Canis lupus familiaris: one gene and its partners. The protein of the gene in region 1 purifies or fractionates together with the protein of each later gene. This does not show direct contact. Links are inferred from orthologs where the notes say so. Each region holds a gene or a part of one and is shown on either strand. Other genes may lie near its edges.

What was found. Proteins that work in one complex are often made in the same cells at the same time.
Region 2: the proteins of NCBP3 (region 1) and THOC5 purify together in Homo sapiens (co-immunoprecipitation; 3 studies listed by BioGRID and IntAct, with this or other methods). This does not show direct contact. The link is inferred for Canis lupus familiaris from reciprocal best matches to the Homo sapiens genes NCBP3 and THOC5.
Region 3: the proteins of NCBP3 (region 1) and THOC2 purify together in Homo sapiens (co-immunoprecipitation; 3 studies listed by BioGRID and IntAct, with this or other methods). This does not show direct contact. The link is inferred for Canis lupus familiaris from reciprocal best matches to the Homo sapiens genes NCBP3 and THOC2.
Region 4: the proteins of NCBP3 (region 1) and ALYREF purify together in Homo sapiens (affinity purification with mass spectrometry; 4 studies listed by BioGRID and IntAct, with this or other methods). This does not show direct contact. The link is inferred for Canis lupus familiaris from reciprocal best matches to the Homo sapiens genes NCBP3 and ALYREF.

What each region holds. Positions count from the first base shown.
Region 1 is NC_049230.1:47,600,583-47,605,168, forward strand, and holds the start of NCBP3 (nuclear cap-binding protein subunit 3), read right to left. Parts: upstream 3,016-4,586; 5' UTR 2,974-3,015; coding exon 2,791-2,973; intron 1,313-2,790; exon of another isoform or gene 1,212-1,312; intron 701-1,211; coding exon 635-700; intron 1-634. UniProt on the Homo sapiens protein: Associates with NCBP1/CBP80 to form an alternative cap-binding complex (CBC) which plays a key role in mRNA export. NCBP3 serves as adapter protein linking the capped RNAs (m7GpppG-capped RNA) to NCBP1/CBP80.
Region 2 is NC_049247.1:23,188,616-23,193,270, forward strand, and holds the start of THOC5 (THO complex subunit 5 homolog), read right to left. Parts: upstream 3,094-4,655; 5' UTR 2,946-3,093; intron 2,801-2,945; exon of another isoform or gene 2,782-2,800; intron 2,054-2,781; 5' UTR 1,938-2,053; intron 717-1,937; 5' UTR 681-716; coding exon 585-680; intron 1-584. UniProt on the Homo sapiens protein: Component of the THO subcomplex of the TREX complex which is thought to couple mRNA transcription, processing and nuclear export, and which specifically associates with spliced mRNA and not with unspliced pre-mRNA.
Region 3 is NC_049260.1:95,958,667-95,963,520, reverse strand, and holds the start of THOC2 (THO complex subunit 2), read left to right. Parts: upstream 1-1,761; 5' UTR 1,762-1,835; coding exon 1,836-1,906; intron 1,907-4,854. UniProt on the Homo sapiens protein: Component of the THO subcomplex of the TREX complex which is thought to couple mRNA transcription, processing and nuclear export, and which specifically associates with spliced mRNA and not with unspliced pre-mRNA.
Region 4 is NC_049230.1:1,221,069-1,225,935, forward strand, and holds the start of ALYREF (THO complex subunit 4), read left to right. Parts: upstream 1-1,774; 5' UTR 1,775-1,789; coding exon 1,790-2,026; intron 2,027-2,346; coding exon 2,347-2,478; intron 2,479-3,986; coding exon 3,987-4,134; intron 4,135-4,731; coding exon 4,732-4,795; intron 4,796-4,867. Other genes in the region: ANAPC11 (anaphase-promoting complex subunit 11), read right to left, coding at 538-646. UniProt on the Homo sapiens protein: Functions as an mRNA export adapter; component of the transcription/export (TREX) complex which is thought to couple mRNA transcription, processing and nuclear export, and specifically associates with spliced mRNA and not with unspliced pre-mRNA.

The sequences.
Region 1 (4,586 bases):
TTCAAAGTTTAGACAGCCACAGAATCAGGAAACTCTATTTTTCTAAGCCTGCAACCAGTGAAGAATAAAGACATTTATACTAATAGCCTACTATATGCCAAGTATTTTTCATGTTTTGTTTCATTAAAGTGGACACAGCATACACATTTTTAAAGCATAGACATAGCATAAAAAAAAGCATTCCCAGTACAGAACTTTTTCTTAGATATGGTTAAGCACAGGCAACTAGGTACATGGATTTTACCTTTTCATAATATAAGAACACAAATGCTGCCTGTATGTTTTCAGGATGAATGAACACATCATTGTGTAATCCAAAATTTAAGTTAAAAAAAATGGGGACGCCTGGGTGGCTCAGCAGTTGAGCATCTGCCTTGGGCTCACAGCGTGATCCTGGGGTCAGGATCGAGTCCCACATCGGGCTCCCCACAGGAAGCCTGCTCTCCCTCTGCCTAGGTCTCTGCTTCTCTGTGTCTCTAATGAATAAATAAAATCTTAAAAAAAAAAAAAGTTTTAGTCAAACAACAAAAGAAAAAAGGAGGTAAAGAGTAACTGGTGTTTCACAAGTTCTAGGGGCCACATCCATTAAGTTCACCTGCTTATCAAAATGAATAAATAAATTATGGTGTCTTACCTTGGAGGTAACATCAATTCCGGTGATGAAGCTACCAGCCTTGTTTTCATATCTTCTGCTTGTGTCCTAACGCACGGAGAAAGATTAAGAAATGCTAAGAGAACTGAAGAAGGGGCAGCCCGGTGGCTCAGCGCTTTAGCGCCGCCTTCAGCCCAGGGCCTGATCCTGGAGTCCCGGGATCGAGTCCCACATCAGGCTCCCTGGATGGAGCCTGCTTCTCCCTCTGCCTGTGTCTCTGCCTCTCTCTCTCTGTCTCTCATGAATAAGTAAATAAAATCTTAAAAAAAAAAAAAAAAAAAACTGAAGAAAAACACATAATAATAGACAGCCCTGCAACAGATTCCTTTTGGATAGTCATTCCTTTCAGCAATCCTTCCTCACTCTGACAACCCTTTATTATGAGGAAGTGTGTCTCAGTAACTTCGGGTAGTAAGCAATCAACCACTCTAACAAAAAGTCTTTTCTAGATCAGATCCTGTCCCAAACCTTAACCAAATCCATCTGCTTAAGGTATTTATGTAAATGAAAATATACAGGCTTTCATGAAAAAGGTCCAAGTTAAGTAAGGCACACTCACTCATCTCCCCAGCCCACATAGGACAAATTCATCGTATCAGGCCACCAGGTGGAGCACAAGTCTTCACCAAAATGCAGAAACTCCAGACTCACCTAGACCTCCTGGGAAAACACAGCACAGTGCAATGAAAAGAGGATGGGATTTGGAAGCCGAAGACTGAAGTCACAGCTCTGAGATTCACTAATTACACAACACTGTACAATTCCTTTCACCTCTCCGGGCCTGGGTTTCCTCCACAGTATCTGCCTACCTTCCTGACCTCTTTAACGGCTCTCCCATTTGCTCTACGGAACTTACCATTTCTCCAACAAAACAATTTTGTTCCCATCTCAGAGCCTTTGCACCTGCTGTCGCCCCTGCTGGGAATATGTTCTGCACGTGGTTGGCTCCTTTTTGTCAGTCAGGGTTCAGCTTAAATGTCAGTATCTGAAACCACCTCCCTGACCATCCCCTACCATTTGGCTTCTTGCTCTGCACACCTTCCCTGTCTTCTGCACTCCTGTCCCGTTAACGTGTTTTACTTTCTTCAAAGCACTTACCACTATTAGAAATTCTTTATTTGTGTCTTCCAACTAAAACATAAACGCCAGGGAAGACTTTGATCTTGATCTTGACGAGTGCCTACATTGTGCCTGGCACATAGTAGGGATGCGGTAACCACATGTTGCACCGAACGAATAAAGGATGCGATCTACTTCACAACTACAGTGATACTTAAACAACGTAACGTAGTAAATGGTAAAAAGCCACCATGTTAACTGTTGTTACTAGGGTCCTTTATCGTTTACTGTCTTTAGTGATCCCATCTTCTTTCCCTTTTCCCACAATTTCGGTTTAAAAAGCCAGACTTTGCTGACATGGTAAAAAAGGGGTTCATGTCAGACGAGAAACCGAGTACATACATAAGAGCCATGCAGGCCCGAGATCAGGCCTCAGAACCCAACACAGGACCACCGAACCAAAAGCAAAGCCCCTCTCACTCCCCCGCTAGGTGCTAAGAGACGGAGCACGCCCCGCCCCCGCTGGTTCGCTTGTTTGGGTCTCACTAAGGGTCACGTGTTTGCGGCCAGGTGTAGGTGCTACAGAGCAAGGAGAATGGGGCCGGGAGGACTCTCAAGTCACAAAAGAAACCCGAAGTTTCTGCAGCTGACAAGTCCGACCCTCCAAGAGGAGCCGCGAGCGCTCCGCTGAACCAACAGGAGCTCCACCGGAGACTCTGACGCCGGCGTCCCGGCCCGGGGCCCCACCGTGATTCACCTCGCGCCCCCAGACAGCCCCAGCCCGCCCTGCCCGCCGCCCCTGCACAGCCTGGCTCGGAGGCGGCAAAGGGGGTGTCCTCAGCACCCCCAGGCTCCCCCATCTCCAGCCCCTCCACACCTATTTCCGGGCGCCCGGCGCCCCTTCTCCCGCTCCCCGTCTCTCCCCGAGCCCGGCGCCTCCGCCCCCTGGGCGCTCCCTCCCCTCTTTCCCTTTCCCCCGACTTCCCCGGCCCCGGCGCCGGCCTCCTCCCCTTCCGGCCGCCGGGCCCCGGGGGCCCCAGCTCGGCGACCTCCTCCTCGCCCCCGCCCCCAGCCCGTACCGGGATCAGCTCCTTCAGGGAGCGCCGCACCGGCACAATCTCCAGCTCGCCCTCCTCCACCTCCATGGGCTCCGGCTCGCCACGCTCCAAACCAGAGTCCGCCTGAGGCGACGGGAGCCCCAGGGCCGGCCCCGCCGGGGCCTCTGCCTTCACCGACACTCGCAGGCCCCGTACGGCCGCCATAGCCGCCTGCCGGCCGCACCACTGAGAGCCCGCCTCGCACACTCGCCGGCTAGAGCGCCGCCGCCACTGGCCATAGAGCAGCGGCCGCTGCTCCCTAGAGTGTCGCCTGCTGCGGCTAGAAGCGCCACACCCCTCCCCCTCAGCGCCGCCGCCCCCTGGTGGCGGGAGGGAACCCAGGACAGCTGGAGCGGGACGGGGTGAGGAGAAGGCGGGCCCGAGTCGGGGGACTGGGGACCGGGCCTGCGGGGGGGGGGGGGGGGGGGCCGCCGGGGGGAGGTCCCTGCGGTCGCGCTTCGAGGATAGGCACGCCTTCGACAGTGAACCTGTTATAAAAGGCAGCGTTACTGCATGATCACTATGTGTCAGTGACTGTTCTGAGTGCTTGATATCTTACAACTCTATTTAATAGGTGCTGTTATTACTCCCATTTCATGTATGAGGAAACTGAGGCATAGAAATTTCACGGTGACAGGCCATTTATTTTACTTATCATCTATCTATCTATCTATCTATCTATCTATCTCCACGTAGAGCATGGAGCTCAATGGGGGGCTTAAACTCAAAACTCAGAGATCAAGACCTGAGCTGAAATCAAGAGTGGGATGCTCAACTGAGTGAGCCACCCAAGCACCCAGGTGACAGGCTATTTAAGCAATAAAAACAATCTGAGCCTAAGGAGTCTGGCTCCAGAGCCCAGAATGAGCCTTGGTCTATCACTTCTAGCCAGTTGGTAGGTTTACAACCTACTTACCTTGCCAACCTTTGTCTCTTTCGAGTCTCCCAATAAGTGGCCCATTTTATATACACAGATATTGAGACTTCAGAAGGGCAATGAGCTGCCCAAAAGCCAAGAGCTTAAACCCCAATTTCCTGACTCCCCAGAGCTCAGTCCACTGTAAACTCCTGAGTATGTTCTTGCAGCATTTTTAAAAAGATTTTATTTATTTTTTTTTAATTTTTTTATTCATGAGAGACAGAGAGAGAGAGAGAGAGAGAGGCAGAGACACAGGCAGAGGGAGAAGCAGGCTCCATGCAAGGAGCCTGATGTGGAACTCGATCCCCGATCTCTAGGATCACACCCTGGGCCCAAGGCAGGTGCTAAACCGCTTGAACCACCCAGGGATCCCTCTTGCAGCATTTCTAACAACCTGGTTGGGAGACAGGGGCAAAGAATAATTTTCAAGGGTCCTCAAGGCTTCCAGAGGGCACCACTGGTCAGTTTTTGCTTTGAGTCCTGATTTTGCACCTTCCCTTCCCTCCCTTACCTTAGGCTAGATTTGGCCCCTATCTGGGCCTGTCTTCCCATCTGAAGAGTATGTAAGTGGGACCCCTAGGGTCTTAGGCTCTACTAGCTTGAACCATGGAGGAACAAATAATTATAAACCAAGGGAGAGCATAATCAACATCAGATGTGTCTGGGTTTCAAACTGACTAGCTCTGCCCCTTACACCACATAAGCCACCTTGGCAAGCTATGTAACCCTTCAATATCTCAGGTTCTTCATCAGTAAAATGGGATAATATTACCCCTCAAAGGAGACTGTGAAGGTTGAATGATATGTGTAGATGTAGGACCCCAATAGAAGGAGTACAACACATCAAAGTTTTTCTGAA
Region 2 (4,655 bases), on another chromosome or scaffold:
AATTCATTTAACCAAATTCCTACTGATGAGTGTTTAGTCAAATCAAGCTTTAGCAGAGACTAAAGTATCATAATTGGTTGTCCAGCCTTTGGAATGAACAGAACACTTCTCTTGAAGACAGAGTCTCCTATGGCTAACGATACTATATTGTACATTTGAAAGTCTCTAAGACAGTAGGTCTTCATCTGCTGACCACATGTGCTCTCAGGCTACAGAAGAGATTTTGTGGGGATGTTGTTTTGGTACTGTCTTAGCAGCAGACGAGGGATCCCAATCCCAGTGGTATGCTACAGATACTGGCTTCTTCTGACCATCAGGAAAATTAGAGACATACACCATACAAGAATGCATTCTCTGTTCAGGACTGTTCATGCCTAATATAGGCTTGTTGGTTCTTGGGATGCTATAACTAAACCAGATGTGAATACTCAGGTTTGCAGAACCAAGGGAATTCCAGGCACCTGGTCAAGCACAGGTTACCTGGGAGGCTGTCCCTGTGATCCTCAGCTGCTGCAAACTCATAGACAGGTGCCTGGCCACAAGCTGTAATTTCTTAGCAGTGTGGCAGCCCTGGCTGATCTCACCTGCTCTGTGTCAGATCGGTTACGCTTCCCCTCAGCTGGAGCTCCATCACTTCGGATCACTTTGGGCTTCCGTTTTTTGCTCGATTCTGATGACATGGTTGTTTGGTGAGGTCAGAAGGAAACAGCAAAGACCTGTTAAAAAGAGGAAACTTAAGATTTTTTAGAGTTAAAGATTTTCCTGGAGTCAGAATACTGAAATCTAACTAGTAGTTCTGGTTACTTACGCCCTTGGTAACTCAAAAAAAAAAAAAAAAAAAAAAAAAAGTCACTGAACCCTCCAAAGCCTGTTTAATCCTCTGTAAAAATGGGGAGGGCTGCCTGGGTGGCTCAGTCAGTTAAGGCCCTGCCTTCAGCTCAGGTCATGGTCCCAGGGTTCCCAGGTCCTGGGATGGAGCCCCACACTGGGCTCCCTACTCAGTGGGGAATCTGCTTCTCCCTCTCCCTCTGCCCCTCCTCCCCGCTCATGCACTCTCCCTCTCCAATGAATGTATATAATCTTTAAAAAAAATTAAAAAGGAGAATGAGATGCCCAGGCTCAGCTGGTTAAGTGGCTGACACTTGATCTCAGGGTTCTAAGTTCAAGCCCTGCATTGGGTTCTGTGCTAGGAGTGGAGTTGATTCTCTTCCTCTGCACCACCCTCCCCCCATCCACACTCGGAGCTGTCCCTCTCAAAGAAAAGGGAGGAATCATCCCTCAGCCTGACCCAAACAAACTCATCTTCTCCAGCTCCATCCGCTTTAAAGGCACCACAACCACATCCCTGACTAAACTCCTCAGCCTAGCATATATACCTGGTCCCAATACTATCGATCGATCACTGTGTGCTGGACCTGATTTAAGTACTTTAAGGGTATGTTCTCACTTAATCCTTGTAAGAAACCTTTCAGATAGAACAAGTACCATTTTATGGTTGAGAACACTGAAGTTTAGAAAGGTGAATGAGGTGCCGAAAGTCACACAGCTAGTATGCTTAAGCTTGGGTCCATCTAATGCCACAATAGTGCTCTCAACAACTATATTATTGTGACACCAGTGTGTCTTGCTACCACCTTACCCGGCAATGCCATCAACTCTCCAGATGGCCCTAAGATTTAAAAGAATAAAACCTACTTTTCATGGGGCTTTAGGGTCACAAAGCATCCTCCCCCTGCTACGTTTTCTGGTTGTCACCACAGCCCCGAGGTGGCAGCACAATCCCCCGTAGCCCAACAAATCTCTCCCCAAGATTTACTGAAGGAACCAATGGCTCATGGTAGTTACAGAAGCCCAGTTGGAGTCTCCACTCTACCATTCTACCGCTGGGAGTCCTGGGCCTGCTTCCGCACAGATCAAATGAGAATAACAGTCCTTACCTCAGGGGTTGCTGTGGACATTGACACAGGAGGCACTCTACTGGGGAAGGTGATGAAGATGACCTAGGCGTGGGGCTTTAGATGGTACATGGGCGATCTGAAATAATGCTGAACACCTATGGAGAAAGTTAATCCCTTTTCAATTCTTTTGAGAAACCTCCAATTGCTTCAAGGAGAACATTTCATTTCCCTAGTTTGTCTTTAACGTCTATGAACACCAATGTTCCTTTGTTAACAAAAGGACTCTCAGAGCCTTAGACAATGAAATCTAGCCAAAATCAACAATGTTTTCATGTTAAACATATTAATTTTATCATTACCTTCTGCATAGGACAAGTCTCCATTTAGGGGAGAAACATTAAAATTTCTCTTAAAGGAAATTCACGTTTAAGAAGTAAAAGGCGACTCGATTAAAAACCTTTAGCAGAGGGATCCCTGGGTGGCGCAGTGGTTTGGCGCCTGCCTTTGGCCCAGGGCGTGATCCTGGAGACCCGGGATCGAATCCCACATCAGGCTCCCGGTGCATGGAACCTGCTTCTCCCTCTGCCTCTCTCTCTCTCTCTGTGTGTGACTATCATAAATAAAAAAAAAAAAAAAAAAAAAAAAAAAACCTTTAGCAGAGTCTTAAACAGTAAATTGACTGGGCAAAATCCACGAAGGTGGGACGCGAAAGGCTGAAATGTGGGAAATCCTGACTTCGGAAACCCAGTAGAGAGAGCCTGGCACACGTAAGCAAGCACACAATAAATGTGAGCTGTTACCACCACCACCTCCGACATCGACATCATCGGCACCTACAGGCTCCCATGCCGGGCCCGACGCAGCTGCAGCCCGACATTTTCACCTGAAGAGATTAATCAGGCGGCGCCGAGCGGCTGGAGACCCCGGAGCGTGAGCACCGAGAACTCGACTCGGCCCCCAGCTTGGGGACGTCTGCACCTCGACCCCGGAACGCCCAGCCCCGCCCCGCCCCTCCGGCAAGCCCCGCATCCCCGGCGCCCTACTCACAGCTCGGAGTCCCGAACCCGCGGTGGCAGCGAGCCGCTTCCGGCGGCAGACAGACTTCTTCCTGTACACCATAGAGAAGCGGAAGAATAGAGCGGCTGGCCGGAAGCGAGGCGCGGAGGCCGGAAGCGAGACGCGGAGGTCCGAGACGGCGGCTGACGCGTGGTCCCGGCAACAGCTGGGCGGCGCGGGAACAGCTGCTGTGGCTCCGGGGTTCTCAGGGCGGGTCCCAGCTGCCAACACCCTCAGGCTGTCCTCCAACACCAAGAAACCGAGGCTGGAAGGGCAGATTAGCCTCGTTTAGTCTTTCCTCAGCGCCTACAGCTACATTCAGCAGCCAACAAGCGCTCTGCCTAGCGTTAGCCGAGTGAATGGGTTCGTCGTGTGCCCGAGGTAACCCGAGAGAGTGGTAGTGCCAAGATATGAACCCTTGTGGATTTGTCTTCATAACCTGTATTCTTAACCAATGTCATAATCACCCAAACATCCCACACTTCGGAGGGCAGCAAGTCTGGGAAAGGCATTCATTCTCCTAAACTCGTTTCTTTCCACATCAATAGTTTCTATTCGATTTGCCATGGGCAGAGTCACAACTCTTATGCGGCATTTGACAGCTTCAAGTGTTCTTCCACCCCTGGTATGACTTCTACAGGTAGAGTTCAAGACTTTTGGTGTAAATTCCACTTATCTGGAGGTAGTAACACCGATGTCCTGAATGCCTTCTGCCATGGGGGTAGGCCCTCCCAGATCCTCAGGGAACACTCTACCCTCAGGGGTAGAGTGGGGATGGGCAGAGTAAATCAGGTGGAACCAGGAAACTGGCCCTGCCTCTAGCACCTGATAGAATTCCTTGCAGATGAAGAAAAGACATCATGGTTTATAGTAAATATTTAATTGGTTCCATCAGTGACTCCACTACAAGTTTTCCTGAAAGGGAAACAGAATCAAGCGACCTAGAGGTTCATGAGGTGTAGGGATCACCAAGGAGGCTCCCAAAGTCACTGACCCCATGCCACATACCCAGTGGCCCAGTAGAATGCGGGTTGGGCTGATAGAATATGAGGAGAGAAAGGAATGCATGGTGAAGGAAATAGGCCCCAGCCTTTTCCTTCACCTGCAGGAATGAAAAAAAAAAGGGCAGGAGACTCCCTACACAGAAGGGCTGAAACTACACAGTCAAGTTCTCAATCTTATATTGGGAGAGATGGGCCTCTTTCCAACTGTCCTTGTTTTAGGAACCTCTCCTCTGGTGGTCTTCTGTAACCTCTATTCTATTTTCCTGTTTCCGTTTTCCAAATTCTGCAGTTCAAATCCAAATTCTGAATTCTGTTCTACCTTCTAGGTACATGTCCAATTTTGTGACCCAGATTATTCCCAGCTCCCATCCTCTTTCCCAGCCTTTCTAAGTGGAATATGAAGGACCTCGTCCTGACGGTGCTAAATTGAAGGTTTTCCCTTTTACTTCTTGAGGCAGTTTTAGGCTTTTCCCTGACAGGAGGGACTTGGCTCAGACTTTACAACCAGTAGGTGGCCCAGTGGAGACCAGGGAATTCCAGAGAGCCAGGCCTGGCTAGCTCATCTCTAACCACTGGACACATTACATTTTGTGCAACTAAAGCTTAACTGAGGCCTTCCATGGTGATAACTGGAGACTGGTGGCCTTGAGATGAAGAATCTTAGGGGGAAATGTGAGAAGACATAGAAGGTTGCTGT
Region 3 (4,854 bases), on another chromosome or scaffold:
TTCTAATTAGTGGCTTTAGGACTTCAAAATCAGACAGGACGTTAGGAGACTAGAAATAGCTGATGAAAAACAATCATGAACAATGTAGTATTTTCCCAGAACTTATTCTGAATACAGCCTATCCCTCCAACATCTTTTCAATGCAAATGAACCTGATCCATTTGGTGAAAACTGCCAAATTTAGAAGGTACTAGTTCTAAAGTTCATACTTTAATATATGTGTGATAAGGTTTCCTTCTTTGGTTTGCCTATGCTTTCTAAAATTTCTGCCAAACCCGTATTTTAAAAAACCTAAAAAAAATATTTTATTTATTTATTCATGAGAGACACAGAGAGAGAGAGAGGCAGAGACACAGGCAGAGGGAGAAGCAGGTTCCATGCAAGGAGCCCGATGTGGGACTCGATCCTGGGCCTCCAGGATCACACCCCAGGCTGCAGGCAGCGCTAAACTGCTGCGCCACTGGGGCTGCCCTAAAAAACTTTTTTATTTTGAAAAGTTGCACAAATAGAACAGAAAGTCCCTGCATGTCCTTCACTTAGACTCCTAGCATGTTAATATTTTACATTTTCTTAATCATCCTAGGGTTTTCTTCTGAGACATTTTAGAGTAAGTTGCAACATAATGTCCTATTACCTCTCAGTACTCCAGCGAGTATTTTCTTAAACAAGGACTTTCACATTAACCATAGTACAAGTATAAAAAAAACAAGAAATTTACATTGGTAGAATATCGTTAGTCTACAGATATTCAAATTTTGTCAATTGTCCCAATAATGCCCTTAGCAAAGGAAAAATGATCTTTTTCTGGCTGGGGATCCGTTGTCCTGTCTGTTGTTTCTACTCATCCGGAGGAGTTCCTCAATATGTCTAGATTGTCTTTAGTGACTTTGATGATTTTGAAGAGTGCAAGCCAGTAATTTTGTAGACTGTCCCTCTATGGGTTTGTTTGATGTTCCCTCACGATTGAATTCAGGTTCTGCGAATTTCCGTGTCATGAATGCTACAAAATTGGTTAGTGCTTTTCTTACCACCTTATCAGGAGGCAAATGATGCCCATTCCCGGGTGTGCTGAGTTTTCATCATAATTGGGACGGTGTCCGCCATATTTTCCCACCATAGTTCCTATTTCGCCTTGGAAATAGTATTTTGTCGGGAGATACTTCGAGACTCTGTAATGTAAACAAGTTGTTTCTTATGGTAATTGCGCCCCCTAGTTTTGTCTAAGGTTACGGAGACAGAGGCTGATTACAGTAGGGTGTCAGCGCTGATGGCGGCAAGTGTTTCCAGGGGTCAGTTTCTGCTTGTATCCCTTGTATTAGCATGTCTAGCACATAGTAAATGGCTGCTTATTTTCTGATGAATTTCTTTGATCTCAGCAGTTAGTAGCGTGTATTGTAAATTGATCTTATGTTAGTTTTTCCCACAGACTGTGAGCTCCTTGAGGGTAGGCACAATGACTTAGTGCTTCTCTGTCCCCAGTGTCTAGCACACACTAGGTGCTTGAAAAATACATGTTTGAATTAGTGGCCTGGAGTAGATACTACCGAAGAGGACAAGGGCTATGTGTCGGTCTGGGGAAGGCATTCTTCCTGTTCTAAAGGGAAGCCAGAGCAAGGGTTGTAGAGGGCGCGGTCGGCGTAGTCACGGCCAAGGACCCACGGGTCTCAGCCACCTGGTTGGAGGCCAGGCCTCGGGTTTCCGCGGGTGGGGAAGAAAGTGGGGCGGGAAACCGAAAACCGAACTCGCAGCTCCCGGCATTCCCCGTGGGCGGTGCTCCCCTTTGACCCCTCGCTCGCGTGCTACACATCCGGGCCTCTGCTACTAGTGAGGGGAAGATGGCGGCCGCAACTGTGGTGGTTCCCGTAGAGTGGATAAAGAACTGGGAGAAATCAGGGAGAGGCGAATTGTGAGTGTCCGGGCTGGAGGCGGGCGCACGGCCGGGCCGGGCCCGGGCGTCAGCCGTGCTCTCCCTTGTGGGGAGAGGTTGTGGGGGGAAGATGTGCCCCCTCCCCCATCCGGGCGGCGGGTGTGGAGGGTTGGCTAGGAGTTTCGAACTCGGGGAGGAGAGGTGCTGGTAACCGCCGCCGACCTCCTTCCTTCTCTGGCCTCTCCAAAATCCTCGTTGCCCGCCGTAGGCTGTCTTCCTTTAGTGTCTTAGCAGAACTCCCGTTTCGCCCCTGCGGGTCTACGCGCTCCCGCTCCGTCTTTTTGTCCCCCTCTTCGCTTGAGCTCACTTGGCTCCTTTCTCTTTACGGGGCCGCGCCGGGAGGGGGGGTTCGGACTTTACATCTTTGTGTCCCATTTCTTCACTCTGCACCCGTTCGACTCTGCAGTTTGGAGCCCGACGCCTCCTTTGCCCGAAGTCCGAGGAGGGCGAACCGTCCCGACTCCCTCCCCTCCTCTCCGCCCGCTGCCGCGATGCCCGGGGCGTCGCGAAGAGCCCCGGTTGGCACGTCTCGTCCTCCCGGGGAGCGGTCTTTCGGATTGTCCCGGCCTCGCGCGGCGCCGCTGGCCGTGGGAGAAGTGTAGCTGGGATTGCCGCTTTCCCACGAAGACCTACCGGCATTTCTTTGCTCCGGCTTTTCACTTTAGAGCCATTTCGGTTTTGATTCAACTTTCGTCATTAAATGTTTCTTAAACCCCATTTTGTCCTGGGACTGCAACTAATTTTGGCGACTCTCAGGGTTCTCAAGTACCTGGAATAACGCGTTCCCTTTAGTCATAAAACTTGTTTTTTTCCCCTGGTAATACAGAAAACAGTAATTTGCCATACCCGCGGTTTCCTCGCCCCAAATTTCAGTTCGCGCTCCCTCGGAAAGAAAGGAATCGTTTAAGCAGTAAAACCCCAGATTCAAAAACAAAGAATTTATTTCTAATTTCGTTCTCTGAATCGCTTTATTAACCAAAGCTCAACGCTGTATGAGCTAACTCTCGTTAGCCATTTTTGCGGTCGGCCGCCCCCTCCCCCCATAGTTTACGGTTGCTCGCGCGAAAGATAACGAATCTTTGGAACTTCGTTACTTCGAACGAAACCCGGGGAATGCGTTGCCCGATCTTGCGCGTGTGATATTGCCAGCTTGTATGGACTCCTCCTTCTCCCCTCCCGCGCCCTCCCTCCCCCCGGCTCCACGCGCACTCGCACTCGCGCTGCTTTACCAAGTCTTAACTGTGTGAGCTCTAGAATTGTATTTCCTGGATAAGCGGCGGTCTTAGCCACTTAACTAGCTGAGTGACCTTGGGTAAGTTCCTTAACCACTTTGACCGTTTCCCCTTGAGTAAATTGGGATTAATAAGTACTCTATTCAAAGGATTGTTGTGAAGACTAAATAATACCTGTAAAGCACTTGGCTTATAGTAAGTGCTCAAGTGATAGCTATTAAAAGTAATATTATTATTCCAATCTTTAGATATTTAAACTTCTCTGGACAGCTCTTGCTCTTAAAGTCTGTACCACTCAGGTTAGCAATTAATTGGTCTTTGACTTACTGCTGCATACTCTTGTACTCTAACGAATTGAGAGACCCTTGAAGAGTGGGGACTATGTTTCATATTTAGTTTGGTCGCCCCTCCCACGCCGTCCCCCCACTGCAGGCCCCAGCTCCCGCCTCACTCCCCCTCGCCTTTCTAGCATATGCTTGGAGTGAGAGCTTTTTGGTTTATTAAATGAGATGTCTATTTGATAAACATTCATTTTTAACTGTTAGGAACATTTTCCAGATCCTTGTACATGCCATTTAACAAATTAAGCTATTAAGTTCCTTGTGTGCAGGGAAGGCAGAACGGGAGGTTACCTAAACCATCGTTTTCATCTATATTAGATTAGGATAACCTCCCCAAACTGATAAATCAGTTCACTATTTTGTTTACTTATTTAGGGCCTGTCATCTTCATAGATTGCTCAGCTTCCTTGTTACATCTGTTTTTGACAGTTTTATTATTGCTTTTACCTTAGAATGAGTGGTATTAGGGCTAGGAGGTGAAAATCTGAATTCTGATTGGCTTCTTGGCAGTGGTTGGAGAAAAATAGTGATGTAGGAGGTTGAAATACGTTGTCAAAATGAGATTTTGGATACACTGTGTGTATATTTGCATAATCCATGCTATGTGTATTGTTCCTGAAGAGCTTTTTCAAAACTGTTAGGGCTTATTTGTATGTAGTTACTCCATGACGTGAGGAATGTTGTTTGAATTATAGTAGATCCAAATCAGTGTAGTTTTATAATTGTATTCTGTTATATGAAGAGAGCATAAGGTGGTCAGTTGTATGACATAATCGGATATTTTAAATAGACAAACACATCATCATCCAGTACTTAGGCTTCATTTATTTGACTCCTTTCCCCTCTTTGAAAACTTGGTTGCATGTAGTCTAACTTCAGAGTTCTTGTATCTAGCATTTCATTTTATTAGAATGAATGGGGTTGTAAATATATTACCCAAAATCTTTTCCTTTGTCTGAAAACAGAGCTTCTTAAATATAAACTAGCAACTAGAAATGTTAAAAAATGAAGTTAATGTGCCAACAGATAATTAGCAAATCCATTTATAGATTTGGCTTTTAGAATAGGACCAATATTGTAAAATACACAAGAAAGGTGAACATTCCAAAGAATTAGAGTACAGAGAACTCTCAATGGTTTCACTTGCAGACATATTCCCTGAATATTAATTTAAAACAAATCAAGGCACCTGGGTGGCTCAGTGGTTGAGTGTTTGCCTTTGGCTGGGGTTGTGACGCTGGGGTCCTGAGATCGAGTCCTGCATGGGGCTCCTTCAGCCTATTGCTCTGCCTCTCTCTCTGTCTCATGAATAAATAAATTAAAATCTTAAAAAAAAATAAATGCAAACATTTGA
Region 4 (4,867 bases), about 46 Mb from region 1:
GTTCAACAGCCAGGGCAGGGCTGAGCGAGCACACGCACGGACACCTGAGACAACGTGAGCAAGCACCAGGAATGGGGGGACACTGAGGGCTTATCGTCACGTCCGGTGTGACAGTGCTACACTTAGTGACTGGGCTGGAGGGGAGCCGGGCCCCAGAAGCCACTTCCAAGCCAGGACGTGAACACAGCCCTTAGCAGCGCTTAGCAGCGACGGTGGGCGCTGGCCGAGGGGACGGGCACCCCCACGACAGCCTGCGTGCCCGCTGGAGAATCGTCCCGTGGCGCTCCAGCGTCCCCCGGCCCACGGGCGTCACGGCTGACTGTGAGCACAGTAAAAAGCCACACGGCCCTCTCTTACAGAACTTTCCATGGGCTCCTCACACAATCATGGGCCCAAACCACCTGCCTTTCTTCTGTCAGCTTGTGTTGAGCAGAGTGACCCCAAAACCCAAGCACCTTGCGCAGGTGTTTCCGAGGAGATGCCCTGGCCAGGCCCGCAGGCAAAGCTCGAGGGGGAGGGAGCACAGGGCACACTCACAGTCTGGGCAGCAGCCATTAAAGGCCATCCGGCAGATGCCACAGTTCTCGTCGTTGGCCACCCAGAGCCAAGTAGCCACGCCGTTCCAGCACTTGATCTTCACCTTCATGGCCGCGGAGCCTACAGGGGGAGGAGACATCGCCGGGCCACACTCAGTCTGCACAGCTACCCATCTAGGCACCCAAGGGGCGCGGCTCCCAGCCGAGGGTCAGCCGGGGCCGGACCTGCTGCCAGAGCTCAGAAACCCTGAGAGCTCTGCACCAGCGGCAATGGCAGGGCCCGGGCCACCCTTGGGAGAACAGCGCGCCCCAGAGCCAGAGTTATCGGCGAAGACTGCAGGGTCCGCCCTGCGTCCCCAAAAGGGCACATGGGCTTCGCCAGTAATTCCAAAAACGTACCATACGGGTTTTTTTCAAAGAGATACGACTAAATCGGGGTTGACAAATAGAGACCCCAACCCAGGTGACCACGAGTTCACGCCAGGGAACCACCACCCAGCCCACTAGGCCTGCGCCACCACCCCAGGGTGAGGGTGCAGAGTGGGGGGTGCCGGGCAGGACCCGGGGTTGCGGGGGAAGGGGTGAGGGCAGGAGCATGCAGAAGGAGTGCGCAGAGGCCAGGAGAAAGTGAGGTGCAGGGAGGGACCAGGGTGTGTGGAGAGTGGGATGTGGGGAAGCGGTGGGGGGGGAAGGGCGGAGCGGAAGGCGCAGGGGTGCGAGCAAAGAGTAGGGGAAGGGGTAGGGGTGTGGGGAGAGGGTGGGGTAAGGAGCGGGGGTGCCTGAAGGGGGTAGGGAAGGCGCCGGGGTGCGGGGAGAGGGCAGGGGAGACGCAGGGGTGCGGAGGGAGGCGCAGGAAGTGGTGGGGGAGGTGCGGGAGCGCGGGGAGGGCGCGAGGCCGGGGCGCGGGGAGGGGGGGGGGAGGGGAGGGGAGCCGCCCGCCCCGCCCCGCGGCCCCGCCCACCTGCGCCCCCCGCCGGCCTCCGCGCGCCGACCCCGCCTTCCGTCGGCGGCGCCCGCGTGGGAAGGTATAAAAGCGGCCGCGGCCGCCGCCGGCACCTCAGCTGCGCCCGCCGAGCCCGCCGTCCGGCGCACGCGCCCCCGCTCCCGCCCGCCCTGCCCGCCCTCGCTCCCGCCCGCCGCGGCCAATCCCCGGCGGCCCCGGCCTCGGTCCCGGCAGGCCGCGCGCGGCCCCGGAAGTGACGCGCCGACGTGCTGACGCGCGGGCTCGAGCCGAGGCCGACTCCGCGCCCGCCATGGCCGACAAAATGGACATGTCTCTGGACGACATCATCAAGCTGAACCGGAGCCAGCGAGGCGGCCGCGGCGGAGGTCGGGGCCGCGGCCGGGCCGGCTCCCAGGGCGGCCGCGGTGGCGGGGCGCAGGCCGCCGCGCGAGTGAGCCGGGGCGGCGGGCCCATCCGGAACCGACCGGCCCTCGCCCGCGGCGCGGCGGGCGGCGGCGGCAGGAACCGGCCGGCGCCCTACAGCAGGGTGAGCGGGGCGGCGGGCCGGCGGGCGGGGGCGCGCGGGGGCGCGGGCGGCGGGCCGGGGGGCTCGGGCCGGGCGGGCGGGGGGGCGCGCGGCGGCCGCCCGGGGCGGCGGAGACCCTCCGGGCCTTTGTCTGGGCCGGGCGCTGGGCCTCGTGGCGGCGGCGGGCGTTGGGCGCGGCCGCGCAGGCGGCGGGAAGCGGGTCGGAGGGAGCGGCGGCGCCCGGGACGCCGGGGGGACGGCGGGCGGGGGCGTGCGGGCGCCGCAGGGTCCGCGGGAGACGCTCACGGGCCGCGTGCTCCTGTGCTCTCCTCCCCCCGCAGCCGAAACAACTTCCCGACAAGTGGCAGCACGATCTCTTCGACAGCGGCTTCGGGGGCGGCGCCGGCGTGGAGACGGGTGGGAAACTGCTGGTGTCCAACCTGGATTTCGGAGTGTCGGACGCGGATATTCAGGTGAGGGGCGGGCGTTCGTCGGTGAGCGGGTCACCCGCACCCGGTGGCCCCGTTGAGGACGCGGCCTGAACCGCCCGCGCCGCACCTTAGGGCGGGGAGCCCTAGGGGCCCAGGGGCAGCCGCCGGCCCTCTAAGGGCTGCAGGAGTGCAGAGCGGAGGTCCTGGCCCGGGAAGTGCGGCCGGCAGGTCGGGGTGTCGGAGGTCGGGCCCGGCCTAGCGGGACGAGCTGCCGCTCTTCCTGAGTCGTGCCCCGCGCGGGGGCGCAAACCCCCTGCCGGAGCCCTCGCTCCTGGCGGGAAACCTCGACCTAACCTGAGCGGTTTCTGTTCCTGCCTCGCTTAGGATCTGCGTTTTGTTTACTTTGTGCTTCTTTTAACGGTTTGCTGGGAGGACAGAGATCTTTTTCTGTGGAAGCCTACGGGCAAAGCACAGACGCAGGACGGCGCTGGGCATGCTTTTGTTCCGCTGGCCTTGAGCCCCCGGCTCCATGTCGTACAGGACCTATATCCTGTCTTTCTTCCCCTCTTTTTAGTGGCATGATTCTCAATCCCGACTTTGGTTGAAGCTTCTTTGTTTTCTTTTTGTTGCTGTTGTTGTTGTTTTGGTTTTTGGGGTCTTTTGGTTTTGTTTTTTTGGGGTGTTTTTGTTCTTTTGGGTTTTTTTGTTTGTTTGGATTCCAAAAGCATATAAACTTGTTTTTTGATTAAGTAAAGACATTTTGGGGATCAGTCCCAGAGATGGCTGGGTCAGGGTGCTGGGCCTTCCTGGGTTCAACTTCCCCAGAGCCCAGCTGTTTGACTACCGTGGGAGGACAGAGCAAGGCCGGTGAGCACTCACGGTGTCTCAACACTTTTTTTAAGGTGGTTTCTGGCATCCACTGGAAACCGCTTTTGGTGAACTCCACTTCCCGCTGTGTGCCTGCGGCCGGAGTAGCCCCACACTCTGGGTTCCCTCTCCAACTCCCAGCCTGCCTGAGGTCAGGGCAGTTTCCATGGCAGCGCTTGACTTCAGCCTTTGCGGCAGGCTTGAGTAGGAGGAGAGGGAAAGGTGAGCCAGAATCTGCCCTGGGGGAGGGGCTGGGTCAGGGCTCCCGAATCGACGGGCCCTGTGAGCTGGTGTCCACATGTCGGATAGCATCCCTTGCTCTGTGATCTTGGCCTTTGCGGTTTCTTGGTACAGTCCTTGGGTGTGTTGTCAGTTTTCCTCTGTTGAAGAAGATAGCGACTTAATCTTGTTCCCTTCACTGGCGGGTTCTGTGGTCCTTTACCTGCATCCTGGTACTGATGTAAGGTCCCCACACTGGCAGGAGCCCTCAGACCCAGCTGCTCCGGGAAGTGGCTGTCCCATCTGCCCCTCCCTCCCCGTGGTTTCCACTACCAGTGCCCTGCCCCAATACGTGTCTGCCTCCCAGGGAAATAACCCCCCCTCAGCAGCTCACCCTCCCAGGGACTGTCCTGGGCCACAGGAAGGGAAGCACCTCACTAACAGCTGCTCTTTCCGGCCCCCAGGAACTCTTTGCTGAATTCGGAACTCTGAAGAAGGCAGCTGTACACTATGACCGCTCCGGGCGCAGTTTAGGAACAGCCGATGTGCACTTTGAACGGAAGGCAGATGCCCTAAAAGCTATGAAACAGTACAACGGCGTCCCTCTGGATGGTGCGTCTGAGGTTGGACCCGGATGCTAGAGGGGCTGCGTCTCGTGGAGTCGGGCTGGCCGCTATCCGTGCAGGAGTATGGCTTACCCCTGTGGCTGAGGACACTTTGCATTCGCCCCTTTGTCTCTCTCTTCCATTCCGCCACCTCTCATGCTGCCCCACACATCCGGACCAACCTCTTGTGAACCCCCATCCAGCAAGCTACACCCTCCCCTCCTTCAGCTCCTTCCGGAAGACTCACTTCTGTGAAGCCTTCTCAGAACCGCCATAGTACACCTCTGAGTGCGGGGCTGTAGTCGTAAAGACAAAGGTACCGGTTCTTCTTCCGTCAGGCCACCCACACCTTTCCACCCATGAGCACCCCGGACACCTGACCAGACACCCAGCTAACTGGACTGAGAAGGAGCGAGGAGGTTTTGGTGGGGTTGTCATTGGCACCATCTCGTTCTCCCACCAGTAGTGCTCGGCCACTCCCCTTGTTGGGAGCATTTGGAGACACAGCCCCTTTCCAGTGCTTGCATGGAGACCGGGGTGTGGTGCCCCTCGGCGCGTTTCGAGCCCTCTAACTGCATGTGTCCTCTTGTATTCTTTGCCACAGGCCGCCCCATGAACATTCAGCTTGTCACGTCACAGATTGACACACAGCGGAGACCCGCGCAGAGGTGAGTTCTGGGGTCTTTGGGACGGTGCTGACCTGTGGTAAGTGGGCGCTCACCCCATGGGCCTTTGAACAT